4 linked regions of the Drosophila melanogaster genome follow. The protein of the gene in region 3 interacts with the protein of the main gene of each other region in a pairwise test. Each region holds a gene or a part of one and is shown on either strand. Other genes may lie near its edges. The genes, in order: 7B2, Edg78E, CG10948 and CG6763.

What was found.
Region 1: the proteins of CG10948 (region 3) and 7B2 interact in a two-hybrid assay, tested with the Drosophila melanogaster proteins (one large-scale study listed by BioGRID).
Region 2: the proteins of CG10948 (region 3) and Edg78E interact in a two-hybrid assay, tested with the Drosophila melanogaster proteins (one large-scale study listed by BioGRID).
Region 4: the proteins of CG10948 (region 3) and CG6763 interact in a two-hybrid assay, tested with the Drosophila melanogaster proteins (one large-scale study listed by BioGRID).

The regions. Positions count from the first base shown.
Region 1 is NT_033777.3:5,373,222-5,379,875, reverse strand, and holds 7B2 (7B2), read right to left. Parts: upstream 3,097-6,654; 5' UTR 2,945-3,096; coding exon 2,926-2,944; intron 2,878-2,925; coding exon 2,066-2,877; 3' UTR 1,901-2,065; downstream 1-1,900. Other genes in the region: kkv (krotzkopf verkehrt), read left to right, coding at 188-388, 444-809, 879-980, 1,056-1,238; CG14667 (uncharacterized protein), read right to left, coding at 3,593-3,719, 3,776-3,889, 3,952-4,598, 4,660-4,785; hd (humpty dumpty), read left to right, coding at 5,379-5,426, 5,486-5,643, 5,701-6,654. UniProt on the Drosophila melanogaster protein: Acts as a molecular chaperone for neuroendocrine convertase amon/PC2, preventing its premature activation in the regulated secretory pathway.
Region 2 is NT_037436.4:21,294,401-21,300,897, forward strand, and holds Edg78E (Ecdysone-dependent gene 78E), read right to left. Parts: upstream 3,404-6,497; 5' UTR 3,328-3,403; coding exon 3,316-3,327; intron 3,242-3,315; coding exon 2,885-3,241; 3' UTR 2,363-2,884; downstream 1-2,362. Other genes in the region: Cpr78Cb (cuticular protein 78Cb), read left to right, coding at 1,166-1,177, 1,261-1,671; CG43702 (uncharacterized protein), read left to right, coding at 4,377-4,610; Cpr78Cc (cuticular protein 78Cc), read left to right, coding at 6,221-6,232, 6,303-6,497. UniProt on the Drosophila melanogaster protein: Component of the cuticle of the pupa of fruit fly.
Region 3 is NT_037436.4:12,842,330-12,853,450, forward strand, and holds CG10948 (uncharacterized protein), read right to left. Parts: upstream 7,789-11,121; 5' UTR 7,707-7,788; coding exon 7,703-7,706; intron 7,463-7,702; exon of another isoform or gene 7,411-7,462; coding exon 6,829-7,410; intron 6,767-6,828; coding exon 6,041-6,766; intron 4,828-6,040; coding exon 4,721-4,827; intron 3,525-4,720; coding exon 3,405-3,524; intron 3,340-3,404; coding exon 2,728-3,339; intron 2,596-2,727; coding exon 2,332-2,595; 3' UTR 1,925-2,331; downstream 1-1,924. Other genes in the region: Wbp2 (WW domain binding protein 2), read left to right, coding at 7,947-8,002, 8,169-8,468, 8,586-8,824, 8,980-9,393, 10,287-10,387, 10,452-10,496.
Region 4 is NT_033777.3:23,282,077-23,289,806, reverse strand, and holds CG6763 (uncharacterized protein), read right to left. Parts: upstream 5,806-7,730; 5' UTR 5,034-5,805; coding exon 4,212-5,033; intron 4,146-4,211; coding exon 3,903-4,145; 3' UTR 3,766-3,902; downstream 1-3,765. Other genes in the region: bb8 (big bubble 8), read left to right, coding at 1-90, 148-740, 801-1,208, 1,270-1,494; wam (wampa), read left to right, coding at 1,915-3,567; Cdc16 (cell division cycle 16), read right to left, coding at 6,052-6,411, 6,475-7,123, 7,193-7,450, 7,510-7,730.

The sequences.
Region 1 (6,654 bases), on a different chromosome or scaffold from region 3:
ATATAACCTACCTCCCAAATGGTATCACACCACAACCTCAACCTCAACATGCCACAATCACCGACTACTGGTATCAAGATCAGCCATTATCCAAGCCCAAACCGTCAACCAATCAAATCGTTCAGTGTCACTAACCCAAAATCAACTCCTTCAGGGCCCCGCTAATCGTATTACTCATCCCCCATAGGTGCACATCTCCAAGGAGTACCTTCAGCTGGAGCCCATCGGATTGGTGTTCGTATTCTTCTTTGCTCTTATTTTGATAATCCAGTTCACGGCCATGCTGTTCCATCGATTTGGAACCATTTCGCACATCCTGGCCTCGACTGAACTCAACTTCTGCAAGAAGAAGTCTGAGGATCTGACACAGGACCAACTAATAGATAAGGTAGGTGGCCCGTAATTGACATTAATACAAATAATAAAATTATGATATTATTTAGCATGCTGTGGAGATCGTCAAGAACTTGCAGAGGCTGCAGGGAATCGATGGCGACTACGACAATGACTCCGGTTCCGGGCCAGATCGCATAGCCAGGCGGAAGACCATTCAAAATCTGGAGAAGGCGCGACAGCCACGTCGCCAGATCGGCACCCTGGATGTGGCGTTCAAGAAGCGCTTCCTGAAACTCACCGCCGATGCGGAGAACAATCCGGCCACGCCCATTCTCACCCGCCGCCTGACAATGCGGGCGGAGACCATCCGGGCACTGGAGGTGCGTAAGAATTCGGTGATGGCCGAAAGGCGGAAGTCCGCGATGCAAACTCTGGGAGCAAAGAACGAGTACGGAATCACAACTGGAGCACCGGTGAGATTAGAAAAGTTTTTGGAGAAATTTTAGATACAGGATCATAACTTCTTTAATGCATATATGTAGATTAACAACAATGGAGCTCTGCCGAATCAGCGAAGCGGACGTGTCTCGAATGCAGGCATCAGCATCAAGGATGTATTCAATGTGAACGGTGGTGGTGCCGAGGTAAAGGCCAATTTATAATCATAAAATATGTGTATTCTCATGGAAATATTTTGTTACGTCCGCTTACACTTGCAGCAGATTTACGGCTCGAATGGGGGCGGCACTATCAACCAGGGTTACGAGCATGTGATCGACGAGGACGGCGACGGCAACTCCCTGCGGCTGACCACCAGGAATCCCCATCCCCACCCGCACCACCAGGTCTCCTGGGGCCAGAACACCAACGGCGGCGGCGGTAATGGCACAGGTCGCCTGTGAAGGACCCGCCCATCCTAGACGTAGAGCTAAGTTAGACCTAGGTAACTTGTTAACGAATTCCGCCTCTTTCCATCAACTGCCTAAACTTAAGACTAAGCCAATACCTAGAATTGTAGTCAGAAGGAAGGATTGTGTTGTATAGTATGTATAGGGACGCGAGTGAGAGCCAGGACACTCTGGCTCAGAAGGATCAGGTCGTTCATAAGGCTTCATGGCAACAGAACGAACATTATGCTTAGCTAATCACACTGCCAGTGTCGATGTGTGCCAATAATTGGGTGGCTGATCGCCCACTGTGGCAGCAACATTCATGCGATGTACTATACTATCATTTGTTAGGTTATCTTTAAGTCAATACCCGCGTGGATCATCCGAAACACGCGGCCAGTGCATGCTGACACAAAATACTCAACGTGGAGCTGAACCGCAGTGGCCTATTTGTACACTCGACGACATATCGAGGATAGTTCTTTTTAAATGAATAATCATTGATGATTTGATGGATTGTAAAACTTTTTAAAACAATAAATAGAAGCATCAAACAGATATTCGATATTTCTCACTCTCATCAAACTTGGGTCATCCCAAGGATAAGCTACATCCGAACCCACCTTCGGTAGTGGAGACCCTACCCCAAGTTTAGACCAATACCCGCATATTTTCGGCTTAGAGCCCTGGTACTATACGAATAACTTTATTTTCGGGAAAGGGTAGAAACATTACTAGACATCGCTTGCGGGACAACATTGATAACCAGCTATGATAGATAATAGTATTAGACACCCATATGGAAACGTCGTGTATGCTCGCGTTATCAGCGAGTTACCTTAGTGGAATAAAAGGTTGCCCTTCTTGGCGGCTATGGGCAAGCGGTCGCCCTGGAGGAACGGGTTTATGACCGCGTCGTCCAGCCGAGGATCGGGCATCACAGGATATCCGGCCTTCTTAGCCAGGCTGTTAACGTTGTTCAGGCTGTTCTCCTGGCCCATCTGCATGATGTACTGCTCCACGGCGGAGTTCAGGTCACCCTTGTCGCCGCCCACATCAGCACTATCCTGTTCCGAGCAGTCGAACATATGCTCGTTGTCGCAGGTACAGTCCTGAGCGGCCTGGAACTCCCGGCTGAAGATGGCCGTGTTTTCGAAGTCGACAATGCAGCTGCCGCCTTGCGTCTCCATGTCGTAGCCCTCAGGGCAGGGATTAGGAGGGTTGCAGTAGGCAGGCAGGCCGGCGTCGTTCTTCACTATAGTGGGATACCTGTTGGGACCCTCTCCCATTCCGCCGGAGATGAACTGGTGACCCCACAGCGAACTGTGCTGCAGAAACTCGTCATCCCGCAGCGAAGGATGGGAGGCAGCTCCCGATGCCGAGCCCGATTGCAGGATGCAGTCGCTTCCGCCGTCACACAGCCTCGCGTACTCCGACCGGGAGACCAGGTCCACGTTGTCCTTGGAGCCAGCGGCTGCCTCGTTGCCCACGTCGTAATAGCCCACCTGCATGTCTTTGTCCATGCGATTCAGCAGATCCGTCATCAAGACATCGGCAAGAATATCCTTGGCGCTATAGGACTGCACCTGGTAGCCACTCAAGGCGACCACGAGCATCGCCACCATCATGTACACACCTGGAAAAACATGGGCTATTCTCTTACCTCACCCACCTATAAATATTACTTCAGCAGACTTACTTTGCGAACGGAACAACATATTGCGATTCCAAGCGGTTTCAACCGTCCACGTCGAAGTTTGGTAAGGTATTGATTTTTCGGCGGCAGCTGCTCCGATTCCGTGTATATACTAACGTGACGTAGGGCTCTGTGCTTCGTGCGGCGGCTACCAGTTGAATTTGCGAAATATACGCAGATCCAATCGAAGCTGCCTTATGGCAGCCACAGCTGAAAGGACGCATGCGCCGTACTCGAAAGCTCTTTTATGTTGAAGCAGTCCTGTGGGGGGCCGAGAATTAGATTAGCGCCAAACTGCTGGAGCTGAGGTTTTCAGGCCTCTTTAAGCTTTATTAGTATAAAATGCTGGAAGAAAATAAGAAAACTTAGTCGCTAAGAAAACTTTATTTTCTTGAATTGTATGACTAGAGGTTTATGTTACACGGTAATACGCTATAAATTTCCATTCCCTCCTTAATTTAAAAGTATGAACTATAAAAAATGACTTGAAAGTAAAACTGAAGGAATTTTATTTTCAATAAATTAAAAATACACTTATAAAAAAATAACATTGAACCGATACTCCATTGTCGAATATTATGGTAGCGAAGTAGTAAACTGAACTACTCAATTATGATTTATTTTTTTGACCTTAGCATTTACTTAGAAAGAAGGTGGTAATAATTGAGGGTTAGGTTGCCAATTCGATGAAATCGAATTCATCCTGCATATATTTGGCAAGGCGCTTATGCGGTGCTGTTTTTGTATGGGCCACCAAGCCTCGGCGAGTTATAAAATCCATGTTGCAAGGCTCACACCTAAACGCAAAAAATACGATATTAAGACATATGACTGCGCAAGCTGACAAGCTTACCTGAACTTTCGGATTTGCTTTGAGTGTGTCGAAAAGTGGTTCTGCAATTCGGAAACGCTGCTGAAGATCATTCCGCATTCTAGGCATGGATAAGGTCGTTCGTTCTTATGGGCTCTAAAATGAAATTGGAAGTTGCATATAGTGCTGCGCTAGCATTCAATTCCCAGCCTCCTTACTTGTCGTGCCGCAACTTAGCGCCCAGAGACGCGAAAGCCTCGTGGCAGATGGTGCACTGGAACCTGCGGTTAATTAAATGAACCTGGGTGCGATGCTGCTTGAGAAGCGCCTTCTTGTTAAAAGTCTGTGGGCACTCAGGGCAGGGGAAGAACTGGTTCATATCCCGCCGGTTCTGGTGCCCATTTAAATGCTCGGTGTACAGGAACGCATCGTGGAACAGGGTTCCACACTCGTCGCAGATAAAGAAGTTACTGCGCCTCTTGGCGGCCCGCTCCATTTCCTGCTCCTGTAGATCCTCCTGCTGCGCCGCTTCTGCTGCCGCCTCTGCTGCCGCTATCACAGCGGCAGAGGGGTCGTCATCCAGCTCGATTTCCTCTAGGTCTTGGTGTTCCTCTTTCGTGCCTTGATAACAAACGTACTGGTCGTCATCGTAGTGCGTCTCCAATTGATCCGCATCGATCAGTTGCTCGTCCAGCGGCTCGGAACTAAGCTCAACGTGAACAGTGCTTTGATCACTGGTCTTCTTTATGATATCCAGCAGGTACTTTTGCGAGAAGATGCACCGCTCGCGGAACTTGGTGGCCAGGTCCAGCTCGGAGAAGCAGCGCTCGCAAACAATCTCCGGCAGCCCCTGGTTTCTTGTCAGCTGAACAAATTCCAGGTAATAACAATTGTTGGCGCGGTCGGAAGCTGACATAACGACCTACCTCCACTCCCGTGATTAGCTTCAGTTGACCCAAATATTTTCCCCGCATGTGAATGAATATGTTGCGATCTCGCTGGTGGCCCATAATTTTGTTGGCGCAAATACGGCAAACGTCGGCGAGGTTCATTGTTTATCAAGTTAATGTGTTTACTTTTAGCATAAAACGCAGCGACGGAAAGTGTTACCAGATCATAAAACAGTTGGAAAAACGACAGTGCTTAATCGATTTGTTATCGGTGAATCCGATAGTCAGATACATTTTTATAGCGCAAAAAGATTTTTTATTCATTTGATTTTATTAATAGTTAAAACGATACAACATGCGCTTGTTTAATTTAGGTTAGAAGCTTGTAAATCCAAAAAGAACCATTAAAATTAAAAAATCAAATTCGATGCCCAACAATGCCATTGTTAACCAACATAGCCCCTGCAGCCAGTGATATACAATTTAAGTTAGTTTCGTTTTGTAAACTACTCCATCTATTATAATAAATAATTAGTTAAATTGTGAGATTCGTTTTATTTGCCGACTAACGATATTTTTGGGAATTGAACATGGGCGAAAATAGCGAATAACGAGCTAATCAATCGAAAGATTTCACACCCCTAGTTGCGCGCCATAATTTTTTGTGATATTTGCAAACGTTTTGAAGATATTTGCAGTTCACAAAGTACTTAAATAATCCGTGAAGGTCCTGTGCGCGAACCAAGACATTGAACATGTCCACCGAAGCGAGTGTGGCTTCCAAATGGACGCGCCCAGATGACGTGGGTAAGGACTCGGAGGAGCACCTGCCCGCCACTAATGTTGTTGTTTCGTTTTCCAGTTCATCAAACTGCAGCGGCTCAAGCAGAAGAAGAACAAATTGGCAGCCCGCGTGAGCAACAACAACAATAGGCGGCCAAGACACCAAGTGGATGAGACGGATAAAAGCAAGCTACTGGAGGCTAAGCTCGCCCAGAAGCGAAAAAATCCGTTTGCGAAGTGAGTTTCCCTCTCTCTCGCTCTCCCCAAAATCCAATTACTGACTCCCTGCCTCAGATCCACAGCTGATGCCAAGAAACTGCGCGTTGATCCGCAACTGGCGGACCTCGAACCAGTGGTCACTGCCTCCTCCTGCTTTGTGCGGGAAACGCCCACGCGCCCGGCGCCCGCCAAATTCGTGCTCCAGAAGTACGACCCGCAGGCCTTTGCCAAGCTCTTCCAGCATCCCCAAATCAACGCTGAGGACGAGGACGATGCGGAGTTGGCCGCCCGGCAGAAGCACACCGCCCACCTACCTGTGGACTGGTCCCTGAAGACGCGAGCCCGTTTCTTCTGTCCCACGGAACTGCCTGCCATCCAACTGAAGACCTCGCAGCTGGCCAGCGGACTCACCAGCTTCGTGCGCTGCATGGACCCGCAGCGAACGGAGAGCACGCTGGATATCTCGGACGCAACGCGGTTCAACCAATGCAATTACTACTGGCAGCACCCGCACCTGCCCTGGCTGACGCTCTACCCGCGCACCGCCAAGGAGAACGTGGGCGTGGTGGTGGGTGAGCGGGAGCGCAAGGCCCTGGCCGAGGAGTGGGACTTCAGCTTCCGGGGCCTATTTCAGCTGCTGCGTGCCCGCCAGTGCCCGTACTTCTACCTGTGTGCCAACACTTTTACGGTGCTGTTCCGAGCTGCCGGAGTTGGCGGTCGGCCGGAGAGCCACGCCTTGGTCACGCCGTCGACTCGGGGAATGCGGCAAGCTCTGCGACAGGAGGGGATCGAGTTCAGCATGCCTCTTAAGAGCGATAACAGTGGAAACGCGCACGACAACAGTTTTAACGAGGAGAGCACTACCACCTCGCTAGGTCCAGAAGCGGGCGAAGATGCTCCTCCGCCGGCACAGGAAGATGAAGACGACGACGAGGACTGGCTGGAGAGCTTGGGCGTGGATGAGCGTGAGCTGCGACGTATCCAGTCCTCCCATGCCAGGAAGCAACAAGCTGCCGAAATGCGAGAGGA
Region 2 (6,497 bases), 8.5 Mb from region 3:
GCGTTCTGCCAGAATTACCATAATGTATGCTATACTCTCACATGTGGAGCGCAAAACAAAAGACTTAGGCAACGAACTTTGTAAGGGTCAATCAGTCTGCTGTGAAACCTGCCAAGAGCATAGTCGCTTTTATTCTACATACGGAACTCAAACCGTTAACCACGTTTCATCAGTTTCAGATCAACAAATAAAAAATCGTTAACAAAAATTCTGTGCTAATCTGGCTTCTGGTGACTTTTATAATTTGATGGCCTATTTTCTTAGATTTTATGGCATCTGCTATGATTTCTATAATCACTATTTGCATTTGCTTTAAAACCAGAAAAGGCTCTAAAAATTAATTTAATATTTGTTGATGTGAATATTTCAGAACATGCTGGGCGCCAATATGCTTCCGTGTTTGGAACCCTAGGTGGTATCATTTGTTATGGATAAATAGGTGTAAAAACTATACACTTATTTCAAGCGGTTATACAACAAACTTCAAGTGCTTATGCTTTAAGTAATATCATACATACATACATTGGTCTAAACTAATTTATTGATCCAAATTTTAACTACCTCACACTGTTAACTCAACTCAAAACTAGTATTTATAACTTCCATCGAGGGTATCGCTTCCTTTTATTAACAATAATAAAATCAAAATCGGAAACTCGGCTCCATAAATTCCACAGCAAATTGGCAGAAGATCTTCAAGAACTCGAGATACTTATCACATTTTATTATCGCATTTATTAGCATCTGAAGTATGAAATCGTAAAATATGAATAAGCAAACATGATAAACGGAAATGAATAATATGTGGCCGCTCCGATATGACCTGCTATCGAGAACCAAAAATTGGTGGGCAGGGTAGCCACACAGAGCAGCGTTTTATCTCAGAAGACGCCAGAGCCACCGATTATTGGCATTTGGTTATGCTTATTAGATTTTCGTGGCTTACGTTTTGGCCCGTTGTTTGCCACATATAAAGTTGGAGAGACCAGCTGGCCGGAGTGGCAGTACGGTGGCTAACTTTAAACCTCGCAGACGTCGGAATTCCGCAGCGGATTACATCAAATCGGGATATTATAAATTATTACAAAATCAATCATAAAACTCCGAGTGGATATTGTGTATAGCTGACAGTGCAAAAAGACAAACCGAGATAAAACCGAGAAATATGCGAAATTTTGTAAGCACTTCGACCCTGTGTCCATTTGTGTTCCCCATCCGATCTGTGAACTTGATCGCTGATAAGACCTCTTTTGGTTTCAGCTAATTGGTATGGTGCTTTTGGCCCTGATTTGGGTGGAGGTGGATGCCCGTCTGGTGAGAGTCCGCCGGATCCGGAGATTGGTCGGAGCCAGTGAGCGGGATGCACGGATAACGGACTTCCGCGTTTCGCCCACGGATGACGAAGGAGTGTTTAAGTACGCCTTCAAGACCAGTAATGGAATCGATGTCCAAGCGGCAGGATCTCCGCTGGAGACCATTGGCATCTATAGCTACACCTCACCGGAGGGCGTTCCCATCGAGACGCGCTACATAGCCGATGAACTGGGCTTCCATGTAGTGGGACGTCATCTGCCGCAGCCACCGCCCACTCCGGACTATATCCTGCGATCCTTGGAGTACATTCGCACTCACACCGAGGATGGCAATCTGAAGAATCCGCACTTCTTGTGAAGTTCCTGACTGGATCCTATCCATTATACACATCGACTTGGATGCAAGTGTCCGTGAAGAAGGCTGACAATACTATAGCATGTACTAATCACCAACTAACTTTAGTAGCTTAAAACTTAAGACCTAGACTAAGTTGTTGCTAGATGTTCTAAGATCTTTGAAATGCCCAAATGTTTCTTGCCCTCGGTCTGTTCTGCTTGGGTTATAAATCAATCCGTCCATGCATCCATCGATTCTTTCACGCCGGAATTTATGGTCTTCGCGCCCATAAAGAGCAAACAATGGGGCTCGCCCAAACACAAAACACACAGTATCTCGGGCGACCCCAACGAATTCTATCTTGTTATCCCATTAACTGCGAACAGATTTATTTGTCTGCGTGTCTGATTAATATTTACGTCTATTCTCAGATATGGAAATTTGAAAACTGGATGGAAAAGAGTCGTGGCTCTGTTTGGGCGACCTTTCGATGGCTTAATAATAAACGGAAATTTTTTCCGGGTTTGAACTTCTTCAAAAGCGTCTCGGGCAGGATTTGCAAAATTTCGATCAAGTTCGGCTCACTCGAATTTAAAAACAACCAAACATATCTACATATTAAGCGAATTAAATGCCGCAAATGCCGCGAAAACCTCTGTTGAAGACATTTGTTTGTTTTTCTGCGTGTAGCCCAAAAGTATAGTTTGTTAAACACGAGATTTTGTTTCTTTTAATTTATCTCATCTGTGCATCACCGCTGGATTGGTTTTCAAAAATTTAACTATTGTAGTTCGGAAATCATAATGCGTTGAGTATAAATGAAAGTGGAAAAATAAATGACATAAATCAAAATCTATTACATAGATAAATGGTTTTATACAATTACTGGCTGCCGAAATCATTAACTAACATATACATTCTTCAAATTGTTCATTTGAAAGAAAAAAGAGCAATGTTAAGATAAAGAAATGTTTAAAAATGTAAACTCCATCCGCCTGAAATTTGTTTCTATTGAAGATAGTGTACGCTTCTATATTTTTCGAAGAACTATACATATGTTCATTTACATATGAATACATATACATGAAACATTTATTTTCCATCTTTACTACATTACTAAAAACGAAAATGATCTGTATCGAAATCCTTTATTAACGATAACTACCTAAATAACAATGACTGGCCGCAGTTTAGATGTGGGGTTGCTGCTTTGGAGTGCTGGTGCTACTCCAGATTACTGCTGCTCCTTCTGGGCGGGCGCCGGGGGATGGGTGCGGATATATTCCAGGGCACGGAGAACGTAAGCCGGAACTGGGGGCGGGGTGGGCAGGTGGTCACCCACTGGATGGTAGCCCTCCTCGTCGGCGGTGTATGTCAGCGAGATGTGCTCGCCCTCGGGCGACACGTAAGCCACGGCACCACGTGCTCCGTTGGCGTTGCCCGCCTCCTGGATCTGGATGCCATTGCTGGTCTCGTAGGCGTACTGGTAGTTGCCCTCAGCATCGGTAGCGTCGTTCTGGAAGCTGCGGATCTGGGCATCCTTGTTGATGTTGTCGGCGCAGGCGCAGCCGATGAGAGCAAGACAGAACAGCTTTTGGGATCAAAGTACAATGATCAGTATTGGTACTCTGGGGTATGAGGCGTGCCAAGTCCAACCGAACTTACATATTTGTACATGATGATGGGAATTGGGAATTTTCTTCTCTTAAAGCGGTGATGCTGTGATGATGGTGCTTGCAGTGCAACTGTTTAATTTGATCAGCTCAAGTGCGTCTTTTATATGGATGAGACCCTTGTCTTTAGTCTCTTTAGTTTAGCAGCTAAACAAGTTTTTTCTCGTGGAATCACAAGGACCCGAGAGGTGAGTATAATTGCCAAAATGTCTTCTTATCATACCACCAATATTGGGCAACAATAACAACAGTGCTCGGCTGGCCTATAGTTAAAATACATGAGTCATTTGCCAACAATTTATATTGTATGCTTTAATTCGGTTTCAGTTTCAGATTCGATTTCGGTTTCGGTTTCGCACGAGATACCATTAACTGTTGAATTACAATCGAATAAATATTGCTGTTTAATGTGACGCTTTCGGCCCATTCAAAACAGCGTTGGAAATTCCCAACACGAGCTGAAGATTTCTTGTTACAACTTTCAATTGGAGTTGCGCCCTGGGCTCGAGGCTTCCAAATGGAGTGGCAGGTGCGATGGTCTAGTATGGTGCGAGTATACCTTGTGCCCCTGGAAAGCTGTTGAAACGTGGACAAGGTCATCGGGCAGCATCAGCATGTCACCCGGAGCGCCGCCGAAGATGATCCAGCCATGCAGTGCGATGTTACGTGTGATCTTCTGATACCCTACATTTATGACTTTAATTAATTGTTCACTTTGATCTTCGGCGAATCGATTGGTTGCAATGGACGCAGCGATAGGTTCGAACGAAGATATTTTTTTGTTTCGAAATTAGCTTGGCAAACACCATCAACCATTGCAAACTGCTGTTAATTGCTGAGAATCGTTTCGGTAAACAAGGAAGTGTGCAAAATCCGAAGTAAGCTAGTAATTAAATGTAGTTCACACCTATCTCTCTACATATGTGTAGACTTCGATTCAAGAAATCGCCAAACGACCCAGGAAATAAACGTCATAAAATGGTATATTTTTCCCAGCCCAGGTAGAATGAAAGCAAAGCTGTAGACTCACACTAATCTGTTGGGACAATCCTTATGTATTTGCAGTGGATTTTCCTTCTTCTAATATTTCTGGATGTTGAGCCACACGCAATACGCAAAAACTACACCAAACCGGATGGATGTCTCGAGAATGCTATCAATTCAGAGGTGCAGATTCTGGACAGTGAAATACCTGGGTACTTCCACTTTGACCTGCCCGAGGGAGGATACATACGGGTGTTTTATCACGTGGATAAGTACGGCTTCTATACCGAAACTTTGCACTGACATAGAATGATTGAGAGTGTGTGTGTGTGTCTGTGCAGTTCTGCCATAATTGGAAACCAGATTTATTTCAACGAGTCTAATTTGTATTTAAGTTTATAAAAATAAAAATACAAATGCAAATATAGATCAAAAAGTTGCTTAAAACCGTTATAGAAATGCTGTTTAATATCTCGTGATATTCGGTAAGCAGACGTCGAAATGATCTGAGAATTTGTGTATTTGAATTTTAATAATTTAGCAATTCAGATTTGAGAGAATGTAGCCATCTGTCCAATACGTCATAGATTTCGGATAGGGCTTGGATGCTGGTGGGCCGGCTGAACTAGTTTGCCAGATCGGGTGGAGCGTCGATTGATGGGCATTTTATTAGGCGGAGTGCTAAGTGCGAATAGGCCTAGAATACAATTTATTACTGGACAGCGAATTTGTATGCTAATAAGCTGAACTTGCTGTTTTTTTTTTTTGGGGAATTTAAGAATTCCTTGATGAGCAAACAGGTTGTCCGCCTGCGCTCATAGCAAGCCAAATGGCCAATGATAATGAAATCGAAACGAATGATAAATTGGATTGGATGGAATTAAATTAGCTCGCCACGAGCTGCTGCCCCCTTCCAAATCCAAATCCAAATCCAGGTCCATCTCTAAACTTACCATCCACGGGCGAATGTCACAGTCACATGTTCCATTACCGTCGACATAACTCCAAGCCCCCAAAAGCTAACCAAAACTACTATTGGCCATTAAGTGCAAAGTCAAATGATTACCGCTACCAAGGCAGAAGCGTGTTGATCCATCGGCAGAAACCACTTGGAATGGGTTCAGGTGCTTCATTATACTCTAGCTAAGGCTGATATTATTTGGATCAGAGGTTTGCTTTTTTGAGATTGGTAAGATAAGTATATTGTATAAATATTTGAATTTGTTTTCGAAATGCAAATGTTTCAAGATAAGTATCATAAGCCACACCCCTTTTAGAGGCCGTGTAGTTCAAAGTCTTATATTGAAAAAAGAAGACACAAGCCAGTTTAGTCATTGAATTACCCAACTTCTACAGAATTACCACAATACACTTAATTTTAAATGACCATGCATGCTAATTTGTGCTTTATTTAAGGAAAATTTAAAACTATAATCCCTTGTTTGTTCTTCTATAAGAAAAAAAAAACGAAATAATAGCTCTCAAAGAAGTGAGCCCACAAGCCCGATTAATCAAAAAGAAAATAGTTTCCGATTAAGACGAAAATTGCTAGGCAGATAATTAAACTAAGCTAAGCCAAATGCCTATGATTTCTAGGTAAACTTAGCAATATCTGGCAAGGGTATTTCGCACTGCGGTGCTGAAATTCAGATCTCCTTTCCATTTTTTTACTAGCTGCTGAGCTGAATTTTATTCAATTCGATCGGTATGCTGCTGCCGAAAAAAAAAAACGACAAACGTATTAAGTTTGATATTTAGTTTGGAGCGGCGTTTGGAGTTCAGAGCCAGATTAGAGACGTCAGCGATGGCGACGCCAACGCCAAAGTCGGCGTTGCCGTTGGCTGCCTATAAAAGCCACCGCCTGCGAAGATCACCCAACCAGTGAGGATTATACAAGCCAAGAAACCAGCAAGATGTTTAAGCTAGTGAGTAGACTTAGCCGCCCGGAAGGATCCGGATTCAAAATCAGAACGTGAACGTGTGTAACCATTTCAGTCGCTCTGCCTGCTCGCCGCTCTGATGCTGGCCAATGTGTATGCGGACAACATAAACAAGGATGCCGTGATCACCCGCGAGGATGTTAATCCTGCCGACGCCGAGGGCAACTACCAATACGCCTTCGAGACCAGCAATGGTATTCAGGCCCAGGAGGCCGGAAACGTCAATGGCATTAGCGGAAGCAGCTCTTAC
Region 3 (11,121 bases):
GAAATTTCGTAAAAATTCCAGACTTGATTGGAATTTAATTATATCAAAAATTTTGAAAACTTGTTTAAAATTTCAAAGTTTAAATATTAAAATCTCTTAGAATAAGTCATCATAAAAAGTCATTAGTGCAAAAAAGCATCGCATAATCAGATGAATTCTTTTTTCAATATTTTAAAAACAGTGGAAAATTTTGAAAATATAAACCTGCTATTTTCACACAGGTTTCACATTGATATGGGTACGTATATTTGTACTAAAAATGAACTCAAGTTGTTTCAGGTTTCTGTATTTATTTTGAAATATTTTTCTGCTTTTCCCCCTAGCCGGTAATTTATCACTTTGTCCGGCAGATTGGTATAAATTTTGGTGTTCTGTGTTATTTGTCGCTTTTTCGGAAATGCCAATGGCTCTCAAACTACGTTCAAAAGACCGGGTGAAAATCGAACTTACCCGCGTAAAAAACAAAAACACGAGTTTTGTTGTTGCCCCTGCAGCTTCCCACTCGAATTCGTGAACTTGAATTGTCCTTTGAAGAGAGAGACTTTCCTTTATCTCCCCTTTTTTTTCGATTTGTTCCGTTTTTTTTGCACAAAGAAAGTGCACGTAATTATATTAAAATATACAGCGGCGGACGAAATTACAGTTCACATGCACGCACTTAAAACACCCCGTTACTTGGACATGTACGACAAAATCAGTGGTTCGTTCCAATGGAATCCTCCTGCGGGCTTCTGGAACAGAACCGCGCGCCTCGAATTCGCAAAAACGACTGATAGCATTGATATAGACGGGCCTCCCTCGTCGACGTTCGCAGCGGCACAGCGGCAGAAAAGCACTCCAAATACACCGATGCACAGAGAGAAAATACGTGCTGTTTATGGCTATTCATTCTTTGATGGTATAAGAGAGATATTCTCTTAAATACCAAAAGGCTCTGTAATAATTAAAGAGGTATAATAACGCCTATTAGGTTGAAAAAATATGTTAGGCCAATTCAAAAACAGAAGTGATTTTTTTCCGTGCTGCGTAGTACTTTGTTTTTGCTTTGGGAAATTTACGCTCATGTTCTTATTCTCTCTTTCATCTCCCCCTTTGCATATGTAGTTGTTGTTGTACTTTCATCTCTCAGTAATTTTGTTTTTGCGGTTACGGCTTATTCTAAATTTCCAAACGCGCTTTAAGTACGATAAACGTTTCGTTGACGTCACAAATATTGGGTAAACTCATAGGTAGAGTATGGAATTTTATCACGTCACTGAAATATGTGGGAGAGAACGGGGAGGTAGAGGGGTCAAAGGACACGGGGAGGCAGGATGCTGTTGGGCATTGTCCTTGGCAGAGGACGCGCAGCTTCATTTCGCGCACTTTATAGCGGCTTACGCCACAAACGTAAGCTCCTTACGTAATGTTTTGGAGTTACATATGTGTATGTACATATGTAATGTATTTCTGCAGGATAACAACAGACTTCATCATATTGTATGTAATAAAATATTTCACCAAGTCCATGAATTCTTGCTTAGGAGGAAGCTGAAAATTCTTTCGACTGTATTTTCATAATACAACTTTAGTCAAAATATCACAAGAAATAAAAGAATTTGGAATAATAATCGCATTCATTAAATCCTTTTTAATGGATCAATCTTGTTAAAGCTCAAATAAAACTGCTAATGTTATTTGACATCGTGTTCGATTTCAATTAACGAATCATGTAAAGCTTGTGAATCAGGAAGCTTACAACTGATAACCAAACTCATAAATTAAGTTTAATTTTATTTTAATAAAATCAATTTTAAAAATAAGTATGGAAATCTCAAAATATTTAAGATGCTGTATTCGATTTCAAGATTAAGCTCTCTTGAAAGATGTGTGTTTGTGTCATTAACCAAATATTTTATCTGATTCAAATTAAAGAAAACTCTTTGTAGTTTAGCATACAATTTATTTGGTTCCATTCTTTCGCTTCCGTTCAACAAAAGCAACGCGACCTTCTGCCTCTCAGTTTATTTAAAATATTGATGTATATATATTTTGTATATATTGAATTCATTTAGCTTAAGTGTATATATATTCTTTAGGTTGAGTTATTTAAATAATTGAAACGGTAGTTAGTTTGTGGTGTCTTTCTTCCGATTGAGTTAACTTCGAGTACTTGCCCTTAAACCTGGATCTGGTCTCATTAAGTCGTGATTTCATTGAAAAACTTGCGTCTTTCCTTTGGTTAACATTTCACTTTCCTCCGCTTACTCGCTACTCATTATGATATAGTTGTAAGATAATTAAAGCATTTAATTGTCATCTTATTCGAGTCTACATTCCGCATTCATCCCCTCACTTTGACTCCGTCTGAGATTCAGTTGGTTCGCTGAAGCCACAGAATCTCCACTTCTCCTTTTCCGGCTTGAAGAGATTTGTGTACTTTCCGAGTATATTGGCTAGATCATCATGGTTACTGGGGGCAGCGTTATTGCGCAGCATTTCGCTTAAGTAACTGGCTATGTTGGCGATTTCAACGCCATAGGGATGCAGCACCAGATAGGCTGAGGCCAGAGCAATTATCTTGGCTTCAGACAAGACTAGCGACTTGAAAGTCACCTAAAACAAGGAATAGTGATTAGAAATATGCAAGGGAATGTATGAAATAATTAGATGCATGTAAAACTAAGATAAATTAAGTAATTAAATCTATATATATATATAGTTACACAAATAATTCTCATTACTAACCTCTTCCGCGGCCACTGTTGGGATTTGCTCTTTGCTGCTTTTGTTTATAGTCTCCTCATGATTCGACTTTGAAACATTTTCCATAATTGACTCATTTGCTTTGCTTTTCGTAGAATCCTTAGCGGGCTCCTGCTTTTCATCGTCCTCGATCTCGTGTATCTCCACCACACCGCTTTGGTGCTCTATGATGCGGACATCATCATCCACTTTATCGATATCAATTATTTCCGGTTCTGCCTGTGGGCGGATAATTTCTGTGCCTTCCCGGCTACACGAATCCCCGCTGCTGTAGTCGAGATTTGAGGCGTTTGAAGCATTTGAGGCTCCAGCGCTATTTGCCTCTTTGTCCCTTAATTTGTCCACTGTTTCCTTAATTTTGGTCTTCAACAGAAGTTGCTTAATGCCGGCATCCTTGAGATTTCGTTCCAACTGCTCAATGGTCTTGTTGTCCTTCTGTTCGCGTAGCTTCGTCTGCAGCAACTGGGTCTGCATGTTGCGAATGGTTTCCTGAAGTACCTTTATCTGCTTTTCGCGCTGAACATAATCACTGCGCTCCAGCGTCATCTCGTGACGAATGGCCTCCAGTTGACAGCGTAGAGAGTCGTTCTCGTCCTGATCCAATTTAAAATCTTTATTTTATTTCAAGTTACTTATACTAAACTATTTGATAAACATACTTTTAAGCCATCACTGTCGTAGCGAATTCGCTTGGCGCTGTGTCCGCGTCTATCGTAGTCCCGCTCATCGTCGGAGATTTCCATTTCATCATCATCTGTGATCTGGACAGTTCGAAGTTCCTGCGTGGCATGCGAAAGGAACTTCAATTAATTATCCGTTGCTACTAGTTGGATAGGTTTCGTTTGGTTTGAGTACCATTGCTTACACTATTATAACCTAGCTATAAAATTTGTGTATTTAAATAATGCATCAAATTTGTTTCCTTGCTTACGACTCTGTTCTGGTCCGCTTACTTACCTCGCCACATTTTCAAAAAGTTTTAGAATTTGTTTCGATTAATTTCTTTTTGCTATTAAAAATTAATTTGTATTTGTTGCACAAATTATGTTTCACAGCAGCAATGTTTTTAGTTCTTCCTTTTGCTATTTACCACAACCAATCGATTTCACTGAGTGCCCATCAAAACCTTCCTCGTTTTCTATAAAATTCAATTTCCCATAGAAACTTGAAGGTTTGTGGACACTCGGCTAAGGTTTACTTTTAGTTCGATGTATTTAAAGCGTATCGGAAATGTTATGCAAATGCTTAGTTAAAAATAGAGATAGTACAACAACAAATGATACTTGAAAGCCAAGAAAAGATAGACCAAAGCATTACAGATCAAGAGCGAAAGCAATAAAAGTAAAAGACCTCATATTTAGAAAGATACTAATGAGTGTTTATGATCAGGAAACTGTTTAAAAAACGCACTTTTACTTTGTAAAATGAATTCTTAGAAATATAGTAATATAGTTAACTAGTTTTTTAACAGTTTCCCTTAAAATAATCTTATTCATATATCTAATTCTACATAATTTAAACGATAGTACATTTTAAGCTTGCAAATTACATTAATATTAATATTGTTTCTTTTTTAGTGACATCACAACTGATTTGGAAATTTCGATAATCAAAAACACAAACAGCTAAAAAGAGTCTTAATGCACGGGACAAATAAAAGAAATTAACAATTAATAAAAAGCAATTAGCAGCTATAAGCGTCACCAATGGAATAGTACCATATGATTATATAGGACGGGTGAATGGGCGACATGCTGAATGATAACAGAAATTGCGTTAGTAAAATGGTTAGAAATCTACTGCAACACCACAACGATGATAACAACATCAACATAAACGGATACAACATTATGAAACCAAGAGATACAACAGTGAATCGAAGTTATTGGACAATAAATGTATTTTTTGTTTTTACACAATTTGCAACATCTTTGAAATTGTTCGTATTTGATTATTTGAACATTTTAGTACGTACCGTGGCTAATTTCTTCCATTGATCGATGTTTTTTCTTTGGGCTTTGGTGAAATGGTCCCAAACCTTCTTGTGACTAGCGGCATTGAACACTTTTTCAATCTGAGTGACTGAACAATAATGCAATAATATATAATAATATTAAGGGAGGACAGAGGGTATTTTTTTTTTTTTTTGATTGTTTGTTTATCTGGATTGGTTTTCAGTTTTGCTCTTCACCTTTGTCAAACTAGACTTGTTCTCTTTGCGAATAAAATGAGTGAGAAATGAAAAATTGAAATTAAACTACAGGAGAAACCCTCGCATAGCAATTATTTAATTAGAGTAGTTACGATTATTTAAGGTTGATATATTAGGTACAATCTAGAGAGAATACAACAGCGTGATTACCTATCTTTACGTTTGTCCGAGTCTGAGATTATCTGAGATGCTCTACAAGGACCTCTCAATCCATTACTGTACCAATTGTTTCAATTTGCTCTCTGCCTTGCGGCTTACAAACCTTTTGGGCCAAATAAGACTTAAGACTTTTGTGGTGGTGTCGAGACACAGTGAAAGTGAGTGAGGATCAGCCGCACAGTGGAGCGAATCAGTGAAAAGGGCGACCAACTTTTTAAATAAACATGATTGAATAAGAAATGATATTCCATTTTAATCAGGAAATCAAACTGTTAAATGAATGCGAAATGTAGTTTTATAGTTTTACATTAATATTAATTATCAAAATAATTGATAATTTAAGCGGGTTTTTGATTTAATACTTATTAGCGGTAGTTAATTGGCAGTAATAATTTAGTAAAACGTATTAAAACGACTGAACTTCCTAGTAAATGCATTAATCTTTCAAATGCCAATGCTTGTGCTAAGGCTCCATATACCATCACAAAACATTTTCAGATGTTAGAACAAAGGCAATCTCGATTGTCGCCTCATCCACTGACTTTTGCTGTGCGGCGGCCTTGGGCTTCGTCTTTTTCGGCTAGTCTTTACCTGATCCTGCTTGGATTCATTGGGCTTGCTCCAGCGACCATTGGCGAGCAAATTTTAGACGGTAGTTTCATATGTGGAGTTTGGCATTTAATAATTCGATGACTAGATTTGCTAAATATTGTGTAGGATGGGTATGGTGTGTTTTCAGTGTAGGTGTAGGTGTTTGGATGTGTAGTACGCTGGTAGATTGTTCAGATATACAGACGCTAAAAGGCTAACCCGGGCGCAACGTAAACAGAAAAATAGGATTTCAAAGTGGGATCGGCGCCTAGTTTCCCGTCTAGACTAGAGCTAAGAAAGCTGATCTTCCGGCTGAAAGGCCGAAATACTTACATTGCGTGGACATGGTGCCCATTTGGTTGCGATAGCTGTCTCTGGCCTTCTTTAGATCCTCCTCCAGTTGCAGTTTGTCTGCATGGAGTCTTCGTACATGGGCATGAGTGCTCTGGATCATCGAATAGAAGACATTGGCGTTCCGCTTAGTGCAATCTCCCCGCTCCAGCCACGCGGTAATCGTTTGAATGGCCTTTACAAAAGTCTCGTTGGTGCGTAGGTGCTCCGCAACAGTAGTAGCCTCGTGATCCGTGTAGTGCGGTATTGGTGGCGGCGACTGCGATCGCATCCTGTCCATCGACATGCGCTCACGATGACGCTGTTCCCTCTGATGCTGTCTCTGTCGACACTCGTAATCATACTGATCATCCCGTGCCTGTGCGTAGTCCACATGCAGGCGTCCAAAGTTGGGAGGTTCATTTAGCGCTGATATACGCAATCTATAGCCGGATAGGTAGATGGCCCTATCTATGGCACCCTCTTGGCGGTAGCGAATATGGCAAAAGTTCTTCTTGGACATGCGCAATGTGGTGATCTCGCCGCATGATTCGAAGATCTCCCGGATCACTTCTTCGGTTATGTTTTCCGGCAGTCCACCCACAAACACCGTCCGGCATCCTGGTGGTCGCTCCCTTATTGTGGGAGGAGGTGCGTTCGGATTAGGTGGAAACAGGATGCAGTTCTTGGTCTTGATCACCTCCTTGAGGCCAGCTGGTGTAACGCCATCTAAAAGTATGTTTTTATTAGAATGTTTATTTAAGGTTCCAATTTGGTATTGCTTTCATTACCCGCATTAAGAGTTGCTTCTAGTCCAGCTCCGGTTTCTGTGGTCATTCCGGCTGCTGCTGCCGCTGCATAGTGCATCTGTTGCATTTGTTGCATCGCCGCCGCCATCATGGCCGTAGGATCCATGAGCATTTGCGCATTGGCGGTGCTGTTTGCTGAAGCTGCCGGCGTGGATCCCCCTGCAGCCGAGGATGGATTGCCGGGTGCAGTAGCACCACCCGCTTGGGTGGCCGGAAAATACAGATATCCAGGTGGTGTGTGCACCAAGCCATTCAGGTATAGTTGCGTCGAATCGGGCAGAGTGAGCGAGTTGGATGTGGCCTGCAACTTGGGTTCCTTGTGCATCGTCGAGGAGCTCACATCCGCAGAGTGTTCGTTCTCATTCTCCAGATCCATGGGCGCACTGCCCTGTGGTTGTTGTTGTTGTTTTGCCATCTTATTCTGGATCTGTTTGGGGGGCGAAGAGGGATTTCCCACGACAGATGTGCTCGAGGCCGCCGTGGAAATTGCAGCTGCCAATTGGTTGAGGAAATTCGGGTGATTTGGCAAACTGACGCCATTCGGCATGGTCCCAAAGAGCGGTACTGCAAAATGTACACAGTTTGTAATTTGCTTTAAAAGAGATAACAACCCAAACGAAGCCGGTAGCAAAACAAAATAACCAATCAGCTGAGCACCTCAATTTTCGATAGGTAAAAAAAGGAAATAAAAGCTGGGGGGTGGCAAGTGCCCAAAATGGCGTAAGTCCCACCTGCTGATAAAAGTCGAATTCACCGCAAATACTGTTGTTTCTTAATTTCCCAGACCTTTCTATTTATTCCATTTTCTTTGCTACACATTTTGTGGGCTTTTTAAAATCATTATCTTATCACTTACGCATATTAACGCCCCAGTAATTGTACGACAGGTATGTATAAAAAAAAACTAATTATATTTAGAGATGAGTGACTGCTCGTACTGGTCACCCTAAAAAGAGTATCGATATCCGATAATTTCGGCGCTGCCACACTTTTCACTATGAATCATCAGCTGTCGTCAGTTTTCTAGAAAAACAAAACGTAGTTGTATGAAATTTTTGCAAATTTTTGTGGACTCAAAACAGTTGGAAAATTAAAGAGACATGTCGGTTAATACGGCTCACGCCAACAATGGCGTGCTCATCCATGCTGGAGAGTAGTAAGTTAACGGAAAAGTCCTTTAATTAACACTGAAAATGCTGAACATCCCTGACGTCATAAATGTAAACACTGACGTGTGGCTGGCGATTTGAAAGGAAATTAGCCTATGTTCCAGCGATAAGATAGAAATATGGCACACAAATTAACTGCTTTTACACTTTCAGCATACTGCTCCACAGCGACAGTGTCTCCATGGAGTTCTCCGGTCAGGACAATCCCATCTTCAAGGGCTCCAAAGGTGGCAGGATTTATCTCACCTCCCACCGAATGATCTTCAATAGCAAGAAGTCCTCGGATTCGATGCAGTCGTTCAGTGCCCCGTTTGTTGCTCTTTCGGATGTGGAAATCGAACAGCCCGTTTTCGGGGCCAACTACATCAAGGGAAAGGTTCGCGCTCAGCCAAATGGAAACTACGTGGGCGAGGTCAAGTTCAAGCTCCATTTCAAGGCAGGCGGCGCAATTGAGTAAGTGCATTGTGCACCTAAATTAAAACTAATTAGACGGATCTCTTGATAAGTCTTAATACTGAATAGACTCAAGAGAATATATAATGTTCTGATTAACAAGTCCATTTCTTATAGATATGGTCAAGCTCTACTGCGCTCCGCCAAGACGGCGATGAACAACTACCACCGCGGTGGTCTGGCTGGTGATGATCCGCCACCATATCAGCCGGCTGGATCCTGGAATGAGGCACCACCGCCGGCATATCAGCCACCACCTGGCTACTATGGCTGGCTGCCGCAGCATGACGCATTCAGCGGCCCTGCGCCGAATACGGTCTATATGAGCGACAATCCGCCGCCGTATCCGGGTATCGGTAAGTTAAACGCACGTGCACTTTACCCAATCTATACTCGGCTTTTGTTTTGGCACGCTGGCTACGCGAATTGGCAACCTGGCTTACCCACGAAATTCACGCTACGCACTCGCTTCGTTTAACCCAATGGGGCACTCCTCTCTTTTTCGTCTTAGCACCACCTGCTCACCAACCAGCACCGCAACAGCCGCAGGCACCGTCGTCGAATGAACCCAATTGGTATGGTTTTTCAGCGCCGCCGCCGCAGCAGCAACAACAGCAGCCGGGCTATGGGCCACAAGGATGGGCCGGTGGCTATGTCCAACCTCCGCCGTACGCTTCATGTGCCCCAAATTGTCCACCACAGCCGCCGTACGCCGCTCCGGCTCAGACGTACAATGGTCCACAGCCATATGGTGGATACGGCAATGTTCCTGGCGGATTTAATACCCCCGGATTTCAGCAACCGAATGGAAATCCAAATGGCTATCCAGGTGGACCACCGCCACCCGGACAACAAGCAGCAGGAGCAGCTGGAGGAGCCGCCGCATCTGGAGCCAGCTTTATGGGCTTCAGCTTGCCCCCTGGAAGTGAGTAGAACTCATCATCCCATTCATCACTTTTTTAACATTTCCCTCCCACAATGCACATTTCTAAATTGGTTTTATTCTAGCAAAAGATAAAAAAATATGAGCAAAAGGACAAGAAAATTATGAACATCTTTAAAATAGTCGAAACATCTAAAGATCTAAAATGTTATCAAGAATTTAATTGAAGTATCATGAACCACCTTTTGCTTTCGGACGCTCAAAGTATTCAAGAGGCATCCAAAAACCATTCAGAAGCATTCGTTCTGTTTATTTTTCTCACTTACAAAATTATTCAATTTGTCCAAATAATAAATGATTTGTTAGCATAATTCATTTGACGGTGTAATATTCCTTTTTTGGTAGTGTTTATATTTGTTTTTTTCCCATTTTTGAGTTCCCTTATCAGGTTTCTCACCTAATATCCAAATAACGATTAACCTATTACTAATCAAAACAAAATTATTTCCCGAATCTAAAAAAAAGCATTTATCTTTTGACCTATTTTACAGTGTAATTAAAAGCAAACTACTGTACCTCAAATAGCCATCCCGACAAGTAAGATTTATTGTTTCAATGTTACCCAAAGCAAATTACTAACAAAAGCCGAGTCTTCAAGTAGTTAAGTCTATCCGATTTGATTTAGTGACATTTAATGGTTTCTTCTTTAACTTTTTCTTTATTACCCACAAAATGCGAACCAATAGTAGCCAGATTCGGCAGCACCCATCATTATTTCTATCCAATTCAAAGACCCATGTGTGTTGTGCTGGTTCCAGCTTTGATACCGTAAACATAAATTGTAAGAGGTGAATCGCAATGGTGTAAATTTTATGCTGTGTATATCGAGCTTGAGAACATTTATTACCAAAATGGATTGTTTTCTATTTTAACAGATTCCAAAGAAGCCGAAGCTGCAGCAAGTGCTTACAACACACCCTACAACCAAGGCGGGCCCAGTGGATCAGGCAACAATGATTTACCACCTTCTTATAATGTAAGCGATGTGGAACATTGTATTGAAAAAATGTCTAACTTCTTTTTTGTGTCTTATCTAATAGAACTTGCCACCCAGTTATGATGATGCATCGAAAAAAAATCACTAAAAGAAGCTGCATACTATATTCCCTTACGAAGAAATGCTAAATAACTAAGTAATTACTGCTCATTCCGTTGATGAAACTCTACACGAAATTATTGTTGTTTTCGGGCATTACAAATGTGCTTGGTTGGAATATTTGCTTGGAATTGTTGCTAATTAAATTCTTTCATAAGCAGCATATTCTTCATATGCTTTGATTTCTGGTCACAAAATTAGAATTTTGCTCTTTCGGCTTGATAAATTGTATTATTTTATATATGAACATAACATTAACCAACTTGTTGTTATATGAGAAAAACAGTACTATTTTATCCGTTATAATATATAAACAATTTATTATATAAAAGTAATCCAATTTCAGTATCTGGCTTTAATGGGGTTCATCGGAGAATTGATCAGGGATCAGACAATTCTTTTCAAATCAATGATTTTTTCGTAACCTCGTTGGGTATAGAAGTATCCACGTCTTTTGGTTTGCTCTGCTATGTATATTCAATAATATACGTAAACACTTTAAATCTTATTTTAAAATTTAAATTAAATCAACTGTATTTTTAAAAATACGAATTGCTGTATTTTTTAAGAAGGATGAATTTTCGGAAAAATTCAAGATTCTTGTAATGTAAAAA
Region 4 (7,730 bases), on a different chromosome or scaffold from region 3:
ATTTTCCCATTGTCCGCAAAAACGGCACCTACGAGATCATCAGCGGTTATCGTTCGCATCATGTACGCCATCGATTGCCTCTCAAGGGCGGTAAGTGTGGTTTTATCTCATCTATAGGCGTATTCTTAAGCATCGGATCTCCTACAGGAATCCGATACGCTCTGGACGTGAACGAGAGCGAAGTTAAAGCCCTTGCCGCCATTATGACGTTCAAGTGCGCTTGCGTGAATGTACCTTATGGTGGATCTAAGGGCGGCATTTGTATCGATCCCAAGAAGTATACAGTGGATGAGCTGCAGACGATCACACGGCGATACACGATGGAGTTGCTCAAGCGTAATATGATTGGTCCCGGCATCGATGTACCGGCGCCCGATGTGAACACTGGTCCGCGTGAGATGAGCTGGATTGTTGATCAGTACCAGAAGACATTTGGCTACAAGGATATCAATTCATCGGCTATTGTCACCGGGAAGCCCGTACACAACGGCGGCATTAATGGTCGACATTCGGCCACGGGCAGAGGCGTTTGGAAGGCGGGCGATCTCTTTCTGAAGGATAAGGAATGGATGGATCTGCTCAAGTGGAAGACGGGATGGAAGGACAAGACGGTCATAGTGCAGGGATTTGGCAATGTGGGCTCCTTTGCCGCTAAGTATGTGCACGAGGCGGGCGCCAAAGTCATCGGAATAAAAGAGTTTGATGTTTCTCTGGTTAATAAGGACGGCATAGATATTAATGTAAGTGGCTCTTCACATTTTCTAGGTAATTTTATGAAAAAAAAACCCATTACGTTATAGGATCTTTTTGAATACACTGAGGAAAAGAAGACTATTAAAGGATATCCAAAAGCTCAGGAGTCTAAGGAGGACTTGTTGGTAGCCGAAACCGATATCCTTATGCCGTGTGCCACCCAAAAAGTGATAACCACCGACAATGCCAAAGACATCAAGGCCAAGCTGATCCTGGAAGGCGCCAACGGGCCGACCACACCATCTGGCGAGAAAATCCTATTGGATAAGGGTGTCCTCCTAGTTCCCGATCTCTATTGCAATGCGGGCGGCGTAACAGTATCCTACTTTGAGTACCTCAAAAACATTAACCACGTGTCATATGGCAAAATGAACTCTAAATCTACATCCGAGCTTATTATCGAACTGATGAACTCCATCAATGAGTCTTTGCATGAATGCCCCGATAGTCAACTAGTATGTCCATCCTTACCCTTAAGTAGTATAGTATAGTAAATCCCTTACTTTTCTCCTTTAGCCGAACATATGTCCCAATAAGAAACTTAAGAGGATACAACAATGCACCACAGAGGCGGATATCGTGGACTCGGCTCTCCAAACAGTTATGGAATCTGCAGCACGTGGCATCAAGGAGATGGCCCACAAATTTGAATTGTGTAACGATCTGCGGAGGGCCGCCTACGTTTGGTCTTCATTCAAAATTTTCCAAGCCATGGAAAGCTCCGGAATTTCCCAACAGTAGTGGTTTACCCTCAAGAACAAAAGAAATTCACAGTTTTTCATTGGTTAATTTTTAATTCTTAAGTTGAATAAAAGAGTTACTATTTAATTAAAACATAAAATATGCCTAATTTAAATCAACTTACAACCTATATTGGCATAAATATTGGGCTTTGATACACTTGGTATGAATCTAGTTAAATATTTATCTATTTAAGTATGAAATATACGCCACATACGCCTTGACATACAATTCATATCTTATTTAGAGTTTAGACAGAGAGTTTAGAGTTTAGTGATTAGACAAACATATTGCAACTTTTTAAACACTACGAAAGCAAGCATACAAACACGAATATTCTGCTTGATTTTCGTTACTAAAGTCTCCACTTTTATAAGGTGGAACTCCGTTTTGGGTTAGCTACTGAAGAAAGCATTCACCATGGAGGAAATCAAGAAGTTTGACAAGCTTGCCTTCCTGGAAAGCTACCTGCTGAAGCACAAGGAATTGGGCAAGCGACAGCGCGAGTACAAGAAGATCCTGTCCAGCAAACTCAAGACCCGCAAGGAGACCATCATCGAGGCCAGCTTTGAGACGGCCATCGATCAGCTGGAGGAGGAGAAAAACGATCTGCGTGCCCAGATCTGGGTGGCCAGTGGTACGACCCACAAAAAACAGAACAATCGCTGGCTGGAGCTGATTCGCTGCCATGTCGAGTGCCAGGAGAATCTGTCGCAGGACATTAACTCTCTGAAGACATCGATTTCCAACATGGAGAAGGAGATAAGTCGCATGTCCAAGCAAATATACAACCTGAATCGTTTAACCATTCCGGATCAGCAACATCAGGCCTATGTAATGCGAGCACGGAAAAGGATGACCATTTTGGAGAATTCCCTGGAGGTGGGAGTGCGTCAGGAGTGCGGTTTTACGGCAGCCAATGCGGATCTGCGAGAGCAGCTTATCCGCATCCTGAATCATCGCACCTTCTTCAATGATTCATACACCAAAATGGTGCAGAAGCTGAACAGCGAGAAAAAGTATCTCATAGATCTGATCGAATACGCTCTGAATACCTTCGATGGCTGCATTGAGGTGTACGAGAAAATTGATTTGTTGGCCAAAAGGGAGGCCAAGGAGCGCGATATGAGACGTGTGGAGATGCAGGGTATTATGCGAAAGGTGGCAGCCGATGGTGATAACACCGCCTTCCTGAATTGCAAGTCTAAGCCTCGAGAGCTGGCCGATTTGCAGCCCAAGGAGTACAAGCGAAGGGATGAATTCCGACGGGTGCACAACAAAAAGATCAATCTCTACAACTCGGTGCTGCAGAAGATTCTCCAGTATACGGAATCTAGCAATATGGACGAGGTGATCGATAAGTTTCAGCAGCAGGAGAGTCTCTATTACTCGTTCTTCAACTATGCCAACGAAATGAGCTACCACATAACTATGCTGAATAATTCGGTGAATCGCCTGTTTGAGGATATAGTTAACCTGAAAAAGGATAACTCCAACACGCTGCAGGACCAACTGGATCAGATTTCCAGTCTGGAGAACAAGGTGCGTAACAAACAGGAATCCAACATGGAACTGCACAAGGCGCGGGAAAACAACGATGCACGTTTGGAGAATCTTCTACAGGGCGTGGAGACGGTCTGCGAGATGTGTTCCATAGATGCCAGTCCGCTGACCAAACTCCTTGGTGACCACACCCACGTCAATCTGGTTAATGTCAATCGATTCTTGAAGCTGCTCGAGACAAGGGTCCAGGAGCTGACGGCTAGTGTTTATGTGATGGAGCGCCAAGAGGAGGGCCGCTTCGACTATGTGGTCAAGCAGATCGAGAAGATCTGCGAGCTGCCCACCGATCTCAATGACATTGTGCTCACCCAGCAGTGTCCCGAGTGCGCCGAGGGTGAAGCCTTCAACATGGATGAGGGCGGCGATGGTGTCCTTGTCCACACGGTCGCCGAGGCCAAGAAGAAGCTGTACGAGAAGGTTACGCAGCCGGAGATGCAGTACCGCCTGCACAGCATCAGCCAGTGTCGTCTGCCGCGATCCCGTCTCCTGGCCGCCAAGCGCAACATGTAGTTCTGGAATATATGATGCAAATCACATTCCCATTAGTTTCGGTTTCAAATATGCATATGTGCAACATTTTCCGGTTAGATATCTAGGACTAGAATCGTCTGATTCTCATGTTTCGGTTGCAATTATAATAAATTCCCAAGTTAACCTACAGCTTAAAATTAGTCGATTCCAACTGATGAATATTTAAATCCGTTTGTTCAATTCATGCTAAATTTTAATAATTATCAACTAAACATATTAGCTACATGTTTAAGTAATGGTGCTAGATTTTTTGTATGTGGAATGCGTTAAATACTTTCGAGCGTTGGTGGATGGTACGAGCTAGTAGATTCTGTCTATGAACTGGTCTCCTTCTTTTCATCGCCCAATCCCAATCCGCTGATCAGGCCGCCGATGAAGCTATCTACAATCGGATTGCCACTGCCAGCAGGGGCGCCAGGAGCAGGAGCAGGGGCGGGTAATCCTGGGGCAACTGGAACAGCGTTGACGGTGCCACAATCGTACATACGATTCAGCTTCTGGATATCGTAGTCGGAGAAACCATTCCTCTGGCCCATTTTATCGGCGCCATTGGCTTGCTGCGAATGCAGAAATTGAAGAGTGTTAAGTTAAACCCAGGAGACTTTTGGTACCATTGTACTCACCATGGCCAGTATGGTGGGCTGTCCGTTGATGGAGAAGGCGTTCTTGGAGTAGTGCATCACGCTGCCATAGTCGTAGGGCACCCCAAAGGCTTCCGTGCGGGCGGCCTTTTCGAAGTTGTTCATCGCCGAGGACTGGACATTGTTGTACTGGATGGCCACATAACCATCGCGCTCCATACGGTTCTGTTCATGAAGGAAGCCGAGGGCGTGCATCAGCTCGTGCATGGCGGTTCCTGGACGGCTGAGACAGCCGGGAGACTGTAGGTTCACCTCCTGCTTGCCACCCACTCGACCAACGGAGGACCAACAGCCGGAGTTGTCGCCGCGAATGGAGATGTAGTCCCGCTCAGAGCTGCGCTTCACAAACCGAATGCACGTCCGACGATGGTACTCACCAATGGCATTTTCAATTGTGGCCATATCTCTGGCATTGAAGTTTCCTCGGATTTCATATGGCACCACACCATTTGGCCAACGGGAGGACTGAGTGGGCAGTCCATTTTTCATAATCAGATCCGTTTGCGGCACCAGCATATCACCCTCCAGATAGCTGCCCAGTTCCTCAGGATTCATCTCATCTGCATCCGCACTAAAGTTACCCACACGATTCGCCGTTAGCTCCTCATCCGGTTTGCCAAAGAGCGCCGTTCCCAATGGTGTCAGGTCGATGATATCCTTGCCAAGAGTGGGTGGTATCTCCTCGATTCCATTTCCAGGCAGCTCGATGACCTCCGTATCGTCAACATCATCATAGGATACATAGGGAAGCGCTTGGCAGGACGATAGAGCCAAAGCTAGGACTAGAAAAACTTTCAGGCTCATTGTTATAATCGTAATTGCTTTTGTTTGGGTGATTGGATTGCCTCTTTGTTGAATGGCTAGAATGAAACTGTGCTGAGTTCTGACCCGGTCGGGATTTATATATTTTCCAGCATAATCGCCGCCGCCAACGCTTATCAAACTTTGCCGGTGGCGGTGGCTTTCATATGCATAAACATGTTTTCCACGAGGAAACCTTCAACGGAGCTGCAATCGTCATCGCTGGCTTCTTGGTTTGTCACACGCTTTATGGCCTGGTAAATATTTGGCCAGCACTCTCGTTAAGCGGCTATACATATGGGACTGTGTCTGTCTGCTTCGCTATTGCCATAAAGTGTATCAGTAGTTTGTTTGCATATCCAAAGTTTAACGACTTTATACGTAATTTGTCGCCCCCAAAGCGATAACCGATAAGCACTATCGCGGCGACCTCTTGCCTTTATGGATTTATACCGCCTGCTGTTGGAAGATATTCCGGAATAATTTGCCGGCTATTTGGAGTGGAAAGACACGCGAAACACTTGTATAATTTGTATCTACGGAACTTTGTTTCCACTCCAAAGAAATCTTACCAAATGGCATTGAAAAAGTTCATGTTTTGATTGTAACTTTGCGGTACGTGCTTATTAGAGGAAGCAAACTCTTGTGATTACAACTTTAGTTCTTCTTGCATATGCTAAGCTTACTTTAATTATTATAAAATGGTATTCAAGTTACAAAATGAATGAGAGAACGTGGCTAGAGGACCACTCTTGGCTGGCCGTACAATTATGATTCAAATGAGACTTTTACGTTTTCTTAAATACTTAATGTTATTCACATGGCGGCGACTTCGATTGATGGTGGGAAAAACAGAGCTGAAAAATCCCAAGACTTTGCTCATTAGCCAGACGACAATATACAAGCATAAACATCTGTATTTGTTCTGGCCACGAATTAAGTTCAAGTGCATGGCATATGTTTGTCTGGCTAACAATAGGAGCTAACATTAATGATTGACATAAGTTGGTATACATTTTTTCTAGGTATCGAAGCTCATTTCCACTACCATGTTGGAATCGGAGTTGGCAAACTCCTCTTCCTCATCGAACTTTAGCTTCATCCCATTAAACTTGTCCGAGTTCAACACCCGGCGACTGTTGGCCGTGATATTCTTGGCCACGTCTCGCAAGGCCGCGCTGCAGATCTCATCAATAGTAGCCGAGTCGTCCATAAGGTCTTCGATACAACTCTTAAGGATCGTAGACGTCACTATGCAGTCTCTGTTCAGGGCCAAACTCTTGTGGAAAGCTTCGATGGCGGGGTCTAGATTTCCTAGCAAAGCATGTATAAATCCTATTGAAGTGTATGTAGTAGGACTTTGCGGCTTTAATAGAAGTGCCTGAAAGTCAATCGTTGAATATCAAGGACATATCAAATACCTATAGTACAAAAATATACTCACATATTGAAAGTTGTATAGAGCTTCCTCGTACTTATGCACCTTGCGCAGCGAATGACCGAGATTTATAAAAAGCGGTTCCCAGCGGGACGAGATCTCCTCGTTGTTGCTCTTGGCCCGCTGTTTCACAATGTCCACGGTGCACTGAAAAATGGTGGCGGCACCGTCAAAGAACTCATACTCGTACTTTATCACACCAAGCTCATGAAGTACATATACATCCAGCGGCGCAATATTCATAGCCTGTAGGAAAAATTTCTCAGCTAGCTCAAGATTTTTAGTTAGCCCGCACTCCACACCTATGTAAAGCAACGGGAGATGACAACCTCGCATCAGTTGTGTGGCCTTAAAATAGGCTGCCATTGCCTGCTCGTGCTCATTCTCATTGGCAAAACTGTGACCATAAGCTAACCAAGCGGGGCCATAAAGTCGGTCCAAAGCAGTTGCCTTGGAGAGATAACGCCGGGCAGGATCACTTTTGCCAATCATGTCGTAGTAGCAGCCCACGGCGTACCAAGAGATCGCTTTGTCCGGATAACGGTCCACCAGCTTATGGGCTACGTAAAATAGCCGATTAAAGTCGCCGTTTTCCACCAGACAGGCAATCTGAATGGTCAGTGCAGTGTTATGAAAGGGATCCACCTTAAGGAGTCTATATATGATAAGCAAAACCAAATACATTTTTGATCAATATAAGTCTTTTACGCCGTTCTTCACTTACTCATTGAGTATTTTCAGGCACTGTTTGTAGTCGCAGTCGTAGAAACACTTCTCCGCCTCAGCGGCCATTAGGTCAGTACTACGTTGTACCCGATCAAGACATTCAGCGATAGGAATTAATGTGTCCGTGTCATGATCACGCGATCGCCTCCTACTGGATGAGTCAAACATGGACCGGTGAGAAGCATCAATGAGGGAAGAAGCCTTTGAGAGACTAGTTTGTAGGGAAAATGTGGGCGCCTTTAGATCTTCCAGGACTCTTAAAGATACAACTTCAATAAGAATGCGCTAAATATTAGAAATATCAGGAGAACTGACTTCTGTGCGGGCGACATGAACTGGCTGGGCGTAAGCGGCACCTTGACGGCGCTCACCTTGGGCATTTGTGTGTCTGACGACCCGCTCTGCTGCACTCGAGCTGTAAATTCCTTGATAAACTGGAGTATGTCAGGATTAACAATGGGGGACATCTCCTCAGCATTGCGTGCGGAAATCAACTCGTAGTACTTCTTCAGGCGAGATTCATAAAGTTTTAGTAT